Linked DNA regions of Oryzias latipes. The protein of the gene in region 1 interacts with the protein of each later gene in a pairwise test. Links are inferred from orthologs where the notes say so. Each region holds a gene or a part of one and is shown on either strand. Other genes may lie near its edges.

Region 1 (7,394 bases):
CCCCATGCACAAATAAAGTGTTTGTGTGTTTGTGCAGCAGAAAAAAGGAGCGACTCTGGAGTCAACATAGTTTCATCTGTTTATTCAATTTTAGGATCTGCTTTAGCAACCAAGACCCACCTATACAAGCTGTATTTAGAATGATTGCACTATTCAGACGTACATTCTAAAGATCCTGGGCTCCTAAACAGAACTTTTTTTTCAACCGTTGTCATGTTTCAAGGCTGCCTTGATTTGGTCTGAAACTGAAAAGCTTCATATTTATATTTTATTTTTTTATCTTTTTGGCTCCAAATCATCTGCGTCCAAAGACTTTAGATAAAGGACGCTCTATCTCCATCCCACACACACCCACGACCTGCTCTCACGGCCAACGTGACCAGCCTGCCAATCAGAACATGCTAAAGGATGTAGCTGCTGAGTGGAAAGCTGCCACAGCCTTTTCTCCAAAACTACTACGCAGTCACACACACGGGCGCACACACATTCTCAATGTCATTGGCCTAATGTACGATCTCTGACCAGTCCTGCTCTTTTCCCACGCCAGTTCTGAACTCTGGACTGGAGCCAGCGCATGTCCTCCTTGCAAAGTCAAACATCCAGCTTTTTCCTACTAACAAATGTTTGACTGATTGGAAATCCCTGATGGAAAACAATTTTTATTTGATCTCATTTGAAAAATGTTACATTTTATTAGTAGGAACATAACACTGTCCGAAATAGCAATAAGTTTAAACTTTGAGTGTAGATGATATTAGTGGAAGTGGTTATTAAAATATTTATACATTTTGTGGTAGAAACACCAAATTCAGCATGATTTTACATTTGGAACCCCTCTTTCAGAAAAGCACATTTGCCACAAGAAAACACAAGATTTCAAAGTGTATATATTATATACACATATAATAGTATTCTGTAGGTACCACTTTGAAGTTGAAATACTGCATTTTGTGCATTAACAGCCCATATTGCTGAGACTGAGCAATTAGACTGAGCAATTGAGTGAAATGACTCAATCCATTTACAACCTGGAAGAAAGTTCCAGCAAAACCAGGCAGAAAGAACATAAACCATGACTGGTTAAGGTCACAGAACAGAAGAAGACAGAGTAAAAGTACATCATCGTTAGCAGATCTTCCATATTTCTTCATGATTTATTCCCCTAAAACTGTTACAGATTTCGTTTGAAATGCATTACACCTACATGTCACAGGTTTTAAGCATTAGTTTTCTTCATTTGTTTGTTAGGACTCTTGGCAAAAACAGTCTTTAATGGATTTCATTTGCCAACAAAAAATAATACTTTATTTACTTTCTTTTTAAAATTCCAATAACTAGGCTTTTGATTTTTTAGCTAAATAAATCCAAACCCTTGTAGCCACTCCTTCCATCTCTTTTAAAGGTTATGAGATGGGACTAATTGTAAACTTAGCCAACACTATCTAACTGCAAACTTGAGTATCAGCAGGAAGCGCTTGGTGTCTCTTAATTTAACACATTGTCTGTTTTCATTGTGTCCACAGTGTGTAGCAAGGGTCAGGCAGTCAGCGGTCAGTATCGCATGCTGGCTAAGAAAGGCGGCTATGTGTGGGTGGAAACCCAGGGAACCGTCATTTATAACAGCCGAAACTCTCAGCCACAATGCATCGTCTGCATCAACTACGTCCTCAGGTGAGACCTGTCACTGCAGTGAGCTCAGGTCTTCCAAAGGTTTTAACCAAACTCTTCTACATGGTAAATATCACAAACTATGTTCTAATTTGCCTTTCTTGTCTCCCTGCAGTGACATTGAGGACAGGGCTGTGATATTCTCTTTGGAGCAGACAGAGTCTCTGTTCAAGCCGCAACACATGAACAGCTTCTTCAGCGCTGGAGGAGCAGGCATGAATGGGGAGCCAGGAGACTCCCTGTTCAGCACCCTAAAGGAGGAGCCAGAGGACCTTGCACAGCTGGCTCCAACACCTGGAGACACCATCATTTCTCTTGATTTTGGTAAGCCTTGTACTTTTTGAAAACTTATAGGGGCAACACTGTCCTGTGTTACATTCCTAAATATATTTTTTGAAGTTCTATTCAAAAGTTTTCCTTTCTTCTGACTCCTTGTAGGTCGATCTGAGTTTGAGGAGCCTCAACATCCATCATCATTCACACCGGCATCTGCTTCAGCCATGCCCCCGCTGGGACCTTTGTCCTGGGCAAGTGAGAGCCACAAACCTGGGTCCAATGCAGTTCCAGGGGAGTTGGCTACCATGGCCGGCGCATTCACCGTGCAGCAGAATAAGCCCCCGGGCAGTGCCACTCCGAGCCTGAGCAGCTGCTCCACGGTGAGGACTGCGACCCTGATTGTGTAGTTGAAAGGATTAATTAGTCAAGTGAGTCAGCCACTGGTTGATTGCGTTTCGTCCAGAATTATTCTCCCCGCGTTCAGTGAGGTCAGCAAAAGTGGGCAAAGTGTGTGAGAATATCGGGGGTGGATGCTTTGGATGAAACAGCCTGTTAGTGGTGAATGGCGCCTTTGTCAAAACTCATCTTTTGCTCTTTTCATTTATTCTCTCTTTCCCTTCTCATCTCCTCCTGCTCGACTTCTGCCTCAATCTGTTCAATTCATTTGTCAATGTTCGCCTGCAGCCCAGCAGCCCCGGTGATTACTACAGCTCAGTGGACAGCGACCTGAAGTTGGAGCTGACCGAGAAGCTTTTTGCTCTGGACACCGAGGGAAACAATTCTGCAAACACAGAGGTGTGTGAGGCTCTGGAATTAGAGCTGTCTGTCTCATTAGCTCTTCATAATAAAACCTTCCAATAATCAAATCATTTAGAGAATACAACTTTTGCACACAAAAAAATAATAATAATAAATACAAAAAAAGAAACATAGCTTGTTTTAGAATAATTCAGAATCTATTTTATCAAGACTAAATCCATGCAAAGTATGGGAATTATCAAAAGATTCCTGCACACTTTGCTTAGAATCATCATTTTGCAGATCATTCTTCTTGCGTCTGCAGCTTTTTTGATTAAGCTTTTCCAATTAGTGTCAAGTTAAGGAATCATTTTGCGCCACAAGCTGCATCCCAAACCCCAACAACAACAGACTAAACTCCCAACCGTTTTCATTCTTTCATCCAAACACAACCAGTGCTTTAAGGCTAAAGGGTTTTATTTGAACTCCCATCACCCTGCAACCCTTTCCTGCAAAGTGCATCAGGTTCATTCAGATATTTGCCAACTTTTGTGTTTAGCACCCCTACGGAGAAATCTCCTGGAAGCTCCTTGGCATCTTGGCATGGGCGTGTTTTAATTCCTTAAACTGTTCTCCTGAGTTTTTTCTTTCATTTTGTGAAGGGATCATTTTGACCATAACTCTTTTTGTCATCTGATATTTCTTAATTACATTTTGAACAGAGGAAATGGCGACTTTTGATATCGACTTATCTCTTGTAGTCATCGTTTTATGTGGTTTTAAGAGTTCCAGGCAGCTGACTATGAAGGTCATCACGTTCAGTGTTCATGTTCAAATCAAACCTAAATCCCCTTTATTATTATAACTAAATTTGAGTTTAAACTAAAAACAACAAAAAAAAATTAGTCTAACTCCATAAATTACATTTAAAATGACATTTTTAAATTATTTTTTTTCCAGGTTTCTATCTACATCTTTCTTTTTACTGATAACTTTTTGGGGAGATTCACTCATCAGTGCGACCAAACAGTGAAGAGCATAAAAGATAAATGTATCTCTTTATTTTTCAGAGAGATTTGTGTGATTTGGATCTGGAGACCTTGGCTCCTTATATCCCGATGGACGGAGAGGACTTCCAGCTGAATCCAATCATTCCTGAGCCTGAACCTCTGGACAACTCCGGAGGAGCAGGATCCATGGGCAACAACAGCAAACAGAACGTCCAGCAGAGCTTCAGTGACATTGCAAGCCTCTTCCAGCCGCTGACCTCTCCCCCTCCACTGCAAGGCTGCTATCGGCCTGAGCCACAACCATCCTGGGCCATCAGGGAGAGGAGAAGCTCTGGTCAGGGTACTGTGGAAGCCAGGGAGAGGTCATACATGATGGGCCGTATGGGGACTCCACCGTACCAGGCCCCAGCCAGCGGCCCACTGTCTTCCATGCAGTGGCCTCCTGATCCAATAATAACTTACCAGCAATCGACAAGGACTCCTAAGGCCTGTCTGATGGAGGATTTACCAGAAGAACGGCCGTCCTGCCAGCAAAATACATCGTATCTCATGCAGAAACCGAGGTAATGTAACTATGACAATATAAAATCAAAGAAGAAACTTTTAGTTTTATCTTTCATTATATGCTACATTTATCTTCTTAGAAGTTAGAATTTCAGTCCTCAGAGCTCTTTCAACAAGGAGCTAGGATGAGACTACTCCAAACATGTTTGCAAAAAAGAGTTTGAGTTAAATAAAGTGATTCATCTCACCGTTTTGTAAAACATGTCCGTTCAAATTCAGACAAAAACTACACAAAGCGTTGAAAAGAAACCAGACCAAATGAATGTGTGCAAACACATCCTTATGGTTTGATGTATTGGCTTTTTTTTCCCTTTACTTGAGTGATCCATAGATTCAGGTTAAGCAGGTGCAAGACGGAGAAAATGAGCTGGGAAAATCCAGTAGAGGTCTAAAATAACTTTCATAAACCTTTGGAAAACACAATTTAGCAAGTAATTTGATGATTCTGTTTTTAAAGATTAGGTGGGAGCCTTTCTCCTTGGAAGAAAACAGAAAAAAAAACAATGAAGGCTTTTCATGGCATTGCAGTTCTCAGAAATGTTGAAAGTTTTATCCACGCTAAGGAATGTTTAGGCGTTATCGGGCCCTTTGCAAGGCTTCTCACAAAGAATACAAATAGAAAGAACAATTATATGTGCGCTATTGTGTATATTCCCATTTTTATAGTTTTTCTACTATTTTCTTTCTCTTTTTTTTTACTCAGGTCAACGGAAAATTTTGTGCAAGCATACAAAGACATGAGTTCTAAAGCAGGCGTGGGCAGCAGTATCAAGCGGTCCTTTAACCAGATGACTGTGGTGAGTTTTTCCTATAATGATTAAAAAAAGTGATGTTTTCTGACATTTGTGCTCTGATGACACACCTTGCTGTCATTTTTGTAGTTTTTTTAATGCCTTTGAGAAAGAAAAAAAAGCACCAGAAGACTGATTTTGTTGGTCCTACCATCTGTTGAGTTTTTTTACCAAAACTCATCTTTATTAGTTAAAATGACTTCCTTTTAAACAAGTGAATTTTTACAAATGTTATATTTATTTAAACTACATTTAATTTTTTTATTTGAAAAAGTTGTTTGCAATTACAGTATTTTCTGACCGGATAAAAAGGCGCACTGCCATTGAACGGTCTATTTTGAGGCAAACCAAACTATAAGGGGCAGTAAGTCAGACAAAAGAGTCAAAGATAATCTGTCAATCATTTAGACTTTATTAACACCAAACACTTTGACAGTGCACTGTGTAGCTCTCAAAATTGCTTCAACATCAGTAAACACAACCGGAATTCATTCATATATACGCACTGTTGTTTTTTGAAGAAAAATTACATCTTTTAAGTGCATTCCATAGTGAAGAAAATAAAGGACAAGGGTATTTACTCAACAAAGAACTGTTTCAGGGTGAAATGAAGCCAGCAGAAGTTATATGGAAGAAGATGAGGGATGACAGCCGCATGGATCGTTCCCTCAGTGCAGGATCACTGACAGGTATTGTGGACTTTTGTTCATTTGACTGCCGTCTCACTTTGCTTCCTGTTACATCATATTGTCCTTTTACAGAGTCTGCGATGGGGACGGTAATGCCAGGCAGCATGTCTCCGTTTATATGCTCCCTGGAAAAACACAGGAAGTCTCAGTACACAGGGAGCGGGAGAAACGGAGCAAACAGAAAGACGTTTGCCCAAAAGAGCTGCAGTTACTCGGAGTACAACATGCAGTCTTCAAGCAAGTCAGAGGGTAAGCTCAAATTCCTCATTCGACCAAGAAATTAGAAACAAACTTCTATTAATCTCACAGCTTTTTCAAGGGTCAGTTTTCAAAAATAAGAATTTTTTTAAAGAATTTTAAGCACTTGTGTTTTATACATTGACAGTTTCTGTTGTTTCTTTTCAGGCATAGCAAGCCGTTTGCTGGGACCTTCATTCGAGCCCTCCTTCCTGCCGGAGTTGACTCGTTACGACTGCGAGGTCAACGTCCCGCTGCAGGGGAACCTGCACCTCCTCCAGGGCTGTGACCTCCTGCGCGCCCTGGACCAGGCCACCTAAAGCCCCTGCTCCCAACCCTGATATAGACCCGGACTTGCTCTCAGCCTTGAGTCTCGACACGCAGCCCGTGACAAAAGTCGTTCTTTACCTTCGTACCTTTGGGCCTCTCGAGAGCCCTGTATGCCTAGCTATCTGTAGACCGTGGTATTCATGACCAGATCCTGCCTTACGTAGCCCCCGTTTCCCGTCCCTTCTGTAGTTGCTTTGATAAACGTTCTCAACCTGCATTACAATCAGGGTTCAAGCTACTTATACTATTTTATCTCAGAACATGTTTATCCAGATGCAGGTTGACCAGAGTAGAGGAGCTGTCACATGCGACAAGCCGTGCACACCATATGCAGAATACATGGGTCACTAGGTGAGAAAATAAAGGTCAGTGCTGGATATGTGACAGATTACATAACACTACAGTCACCTGGGTCACACGTTGAAGAGTCCTGACACTCAGATGTTTGGGATTTAGTGAATATTTGTTCTGGAATAGATGCTGAGATTAACACGGTGCTTGTGGTGGGGAGATAGGCAATCTGCCTAAATCTCTGCACCCGCTGCACCTCAACCTCCAGTTGATTCCTGTTGAGGCTGTACAGTCTATGCAGTTCCTTTTGTCAACCGGCCGAAGCATTCAGTTCAGAAAACAAACAAAAAACGACACTGTCTCCATACTAACAGAAAAACTGTGTTCTTTAATGTCATATATATTTTACCAGCATCTAGTGAACGCAGCCTTGTTTCCTAGTTTCAGGCAGAGTCTCAAGCCAGAGCTGGGTATCATGAATTGCCTCTGAAAGGAAGCCATCTGTAGAAAAACCCTCGAGATAAAAAAAAAATTATCCGATTCCCAAAGAGGACAAAAATGGTGCAATATGGAAGACTGGAGCACTTTAAAGAGTTGCTAAATGTGACGAGTGGGCCAATAGAAATAATTACTTGAACTACTTTGACGCTAGTTAAAATTTCACTTCTTTTTTTTTCTTTCTGTGACTAATGTAGTTTTTAATTTGGATCATTAGATGCTAGAAATGGAAGCCATAATAATTGAATTGTACCTACGATTTCTTATTTCACACAACACTGCAGCTTCATTGGAGCACAAAC
Region 2 (3,935 bases), on another chromosome or scaffold:
CCGGGCGTCCCTGCAGGTCTTCAGTCTGACTTGAGCTGCAGGACAGACCGGAAGACGGGGAGGAGCCTGGTCCGTTCGCCGTGACCTTCAGCGAGTGGTTTTCCTGCGCCAGCCTCTCCACGAGGGCCCTGGCCTCCTGGAAGCGACAGCTCAAAAACTCTCGCTCGTCTCTGGTTCTTTGCTGCCATCCCTCCATCTCTTCACAGCGCAGGCGGAGAGCTTGGTTGCTTCTCCGCAGTGCCTCTGGAGGAGCAAACATAAAGTACGACTTTCGTCTTTCGGTCTCACACAGAAGTTTATCCAAACTTTGCTGCCCTGACTCTGTTCTTATGCTGTGATACTATTCACAGATAGAAGAGACAGCATTTACCACATCTGAATGTGTATTTACATCTGCTAGACATGAAACCAACTTCCTGTGTGCGTTCAGGGCAGCTTGAAGTATCCGTCACTCCATTTTAACCAAAAATATCCTTTAAAGACCCACTCCGATCATCTTTTGATCTATTTTTAAACACGTTCTCAGTGGTCTTTTTGATATAATGCGGCCACTTTTAGCCATAATCTAAAAAGACTGCCATTTTCAAGGACATAATTCCTGCAGAGTGGCAGCGATTCATCAAAAATTGACCTCTGAGTTGTGGGCGGGACTGTTGACGTGGAGTAAGCCTGCCCCAACTTCCCGTCACTCACCTGTTTACCCGTTTTCCTGCTAGCTTACAGCCCCTCACACCCCCAACCTAACACTACCGGAGTGACAAAAATGCTGAGAAATATTGGAGCTATCCATCCGTCCAGTTTAGATCCAGATTCCAGCTCAGACGAGGAAAACAAAGACGCACATGGATCTATTTGTCTGCAAGTGGATGCATCAGAATGGAGCGGAGCAGGAAGTTTGTGGCCCGCCAATCATATTTTCTACATCACAAATAAGCTCTTTGTCAAACAGCATTTCACCACACACTCCTGATTCACAACAATTTGAATAAAGAAATACCCTGCAAGCTAAATTTTCTAAGACATCTGAGAAGATGATAAAAAAAAAAAAAAAAAAAAAAATTTTTAATTTTCATCAGAGTGGGTCTATAAATCAATCAAACTTTAATTATAAAGCACTTTTCATATAAAAGTATAACACAAAGTGATTTACATTAAAACAAAACAAAATAAATAACATAAAACAACAATTAACATAAAAAGAAAAATAATAATAAAAAAGAAGTATGAAGACAATATGTTGGAAACGCTAATAATTGGAACCTCCCTTTCTGTGAACAGCCGCATAACCAGCCAAATGCAGCATCACAGGCGGGGACCGCTCCACCACAGCTAAGCAGTGATGCAGGTTCCCATCCAGAGCCGCAGTGGCTGAAGAGCAGCCGATCCAGAGGGAGAGGTCCAAACTATGAAGGAGCTAAATAATTAATTATTTCTGTTTTTCTGATTTTTTTCCGTTTACAAAACAGGCAAATATGGTAAATAACTAAAATAGTGTAAAAGATGGTTAAACCACATATAGATTTGTTTTGAATTAAGCTTCTCTTATTTTCTGCTTTTACGTGTATAAAATATGTCAGTTAAAAAGCTGAGTTAACTAAAGCAGAAACTAAAATATATATACCACAATGTTTTAAGAAGTCAGCCTCTGATTATAAGCGAGCTCCACCCCGCCGGACCTAAAATGTATTTAACTTTAAAAAAAAAAAAAAATATGTTCCTGTCATGGATGAGAAATTGAAAAGAAAAGAAAGCGTAAACAGGGTCAGATGAAGAATCCTCGTTAAAAGTTGTGTGAGCGAAGCCGTGGGTGCGATACCTCTGAGCTGCTGGTTGTCACACAGTAATCTGGACACCACCTCATGACCAGCAAGCTCCGGTGGGACCCTGAGGGCCCCGCCACTGTCCTCCCCTGACATGTCCCACTGCATGGGGCCGTCGGGCTGCGGCTGGACCATTCCTGCAGGATTACAGTGGATTATCATCACACACCTGTCAAAGTCAACATCCAGTCCGTAAGCGTGGAAACAGGTTTGAGCCCTGACATGTGCACCAGGACCAGACTTTCACTTTCATTTTGATTCTTTTACTCATTTTTGTTGAAAATATGAAGCAGATCTGCTCCTTAAAGGCTTCAGCCTCTCTGCTAAAAAAAAAAAAAAAAAAACATGTGGACGTCATCCATGAACATGACTGCAGGTAAGGAAAACATTACGTCATCGTCATCACACCTTAGGCCGGGATAAAAGACACATTGGGTTTAAAATAGCTTTAAAAATGAAAGTAAAGAGAACGCAGTTGGATTTTAACAGAAAAAATAAATAAAATCAACGACCTAATTCCAAACTAGACTGATGTTTTTTTGGTTTTTGGACATCCGTGACTGTCTCTGAACAGTTTGGACGCATACATACTAGTTTATTTTAACAAAACAAGGACAGGATCTCTCTTACCTTAACTTCTTTTTCCCTTTGTTGTCCAGAATAACACACATCCAGAGTTTTTACAGTCCCCCCCTCAAACCTGCGCCAGGAAGGAAGCTCGACGAGTCCAGAAGCACTATTTTGGCTAATTTTTAGCTAGCTAGGCTAATGCGGCAGTGAAGGGCTGGGAAAGCGGCCTCGCTCCTCGGCTGTCATAAACACAGCTTCACGCTGGCAGACTATCGAACCTTAAAGGCACATTCTGTGTGGATGTAGGAGGCCTTTTCTTCCTTTGCTTCACGTTCGCTACGGGGTTTTCGTCCGAGCCGAGGCGACTGTTGTTAGCTCGGAAAATTCCTCGAATATTTTAACCCTGAGTTTTGCCTTTCAGGTGTCGGTTCTCCGGTTTGTAGATCTGAAAGGGGAACGGTTTGAGTATCTTATTTTAAGCACGAACAAGTGTGTAAAGTTTTCCTGCTGAATTAGGTTTTATAAATATAAGATTTTCTACTTTATTTTAATTGATAAAGCTTGCAAATATATTACAGTGAAATATAAAAAAATAATAAAACAGTGAAAGTTGAGTGGGATCACAAAACATTGCAAACTCAGCAAAGTCAAAGTCAGGTTTAGGGGGGGGGGGTGATGATACCAAAAAAAAAGAAAAAGCAGAAAAATCAAAGAAGAAGCAAATTGCAGAAACTGCAACACTTGTTCAAGTATCAGGGATGACTGGTTGACACACACAAAGAAACAGACACTTGATGAAAGAAACTGCTTGAATAAATCAATGCAATAAACATCCTAAAACTTCAATAATGAAGGGAACCAGACAACAGAACAGATAAAATGAAGAGGGTCTGCCACGAATCGACAACGGGATTAAAAACTTGAACCTGGAGCGCTTTGGACCCATGACTGAGACAATAATTTGATAGTATGCACTTTGAAAAAGCCCCAATTAGTAAAAATAGCCAATTTTTAAAATCAATACTAATGTTTTTCTGTTCTCACATGAGCTGCCGCCTCTGACCTGCACCAAAAGCCAGCCGTGTGCTAATGACACATGGGGAGTAACACAAACACAACAATGTGGGGATCCAGCTCATGTTCCCACAGGATTCAGTTCTTTAGGAAAACTGGATTTAAATGGATTCATCTAGATAGGGAGTGGGCAGTCGGGAGGGTTGAGGGCACTCTATGTTTTATAATTTCAGTTTTAATTGTTTGAAGTCAGAAAAGCACTTTGTGTTACTCTAGTAGGAAAAGTGCTGTATACAGAATGTTAAATTTGATGTTGAAAACAAAATAATCAGAATTTGCATCTGTTTATACAATATTGTATTATTTAACATGTTAGCTTGCAGCAGCACACCGTACATTAGCAGTTTGAACTGAAGAGACAGCCATAAAGAAGTGTTTACATCTTGGAGGAATTTTAAAAAAAAATTGGGCACCAAAATTAGGCCGCGTCAAAAGTTGCCTGTCAGGTAAAGCGCAGGGAATCTAAATTCC

Evidence for each region. The genes of interacting proteins can lie anywhere in the genome.
Region 2: the proteins of endothelial PAS domain-containing protein 1 (region 1) and ikbkg interact in a two-hybrid assay, tested with the Homo sapiens proteins (2 studies listed by BioGRID, with this or other methods). The link is inferred for Oryzias latipes from reciprocal best matches to the Homo sapiens genes EPAS1 and IKBKG.

Annotation. Positions count from the first base shown.
Region 1 is NC_019873.2:14,302,096-14,309,489, forward strand, and holds part of endothelial PAS domain-containing protein 1, read left to right. Parts: intron 1-1,523; coding exon 1,524-1,671; intron 1,672-1,783; coding exon 1,784-1,992; intron 1,993-2,106; coding exon 2,107-2,324; intron 2,325-2,628; coding exon 2,629-2,739; intron 2,740-3,752; coding exon 3,753-4,255; intron 4,256-4,959; coding exon 4,960-5,053; intron 5,054-5,648; coding exon 5,649-5,736; intron 5,737-5,808; coding exon 5,809-5,985; intron 5,986-6,141; coding exon 6,142-6,293; 3' UTR 6,294-7,394.
Region 2 is NC_019865.2:4,851,536-4,855,470, forward strand, and holds the start of ikbkg (NF-kappa-B essential modulator), read right to left. Parts: upstream 2,801-3,935; 5' UTR 2,451-2,800; intron 1,958-2,450; 5' UTR 1,956-1,957; coding exon 1,817-1,955; intron 244-1,816; coding exon 1-243. UniProt on the Homo sapiens protein: Regulatory subunit of the IKK core complex which phosphorylates inhibitors of NF-kappa-B thus leading to the dissociation of the inhibitor/NF-kappa-B complex and ultimately the degradation of the inhibitor.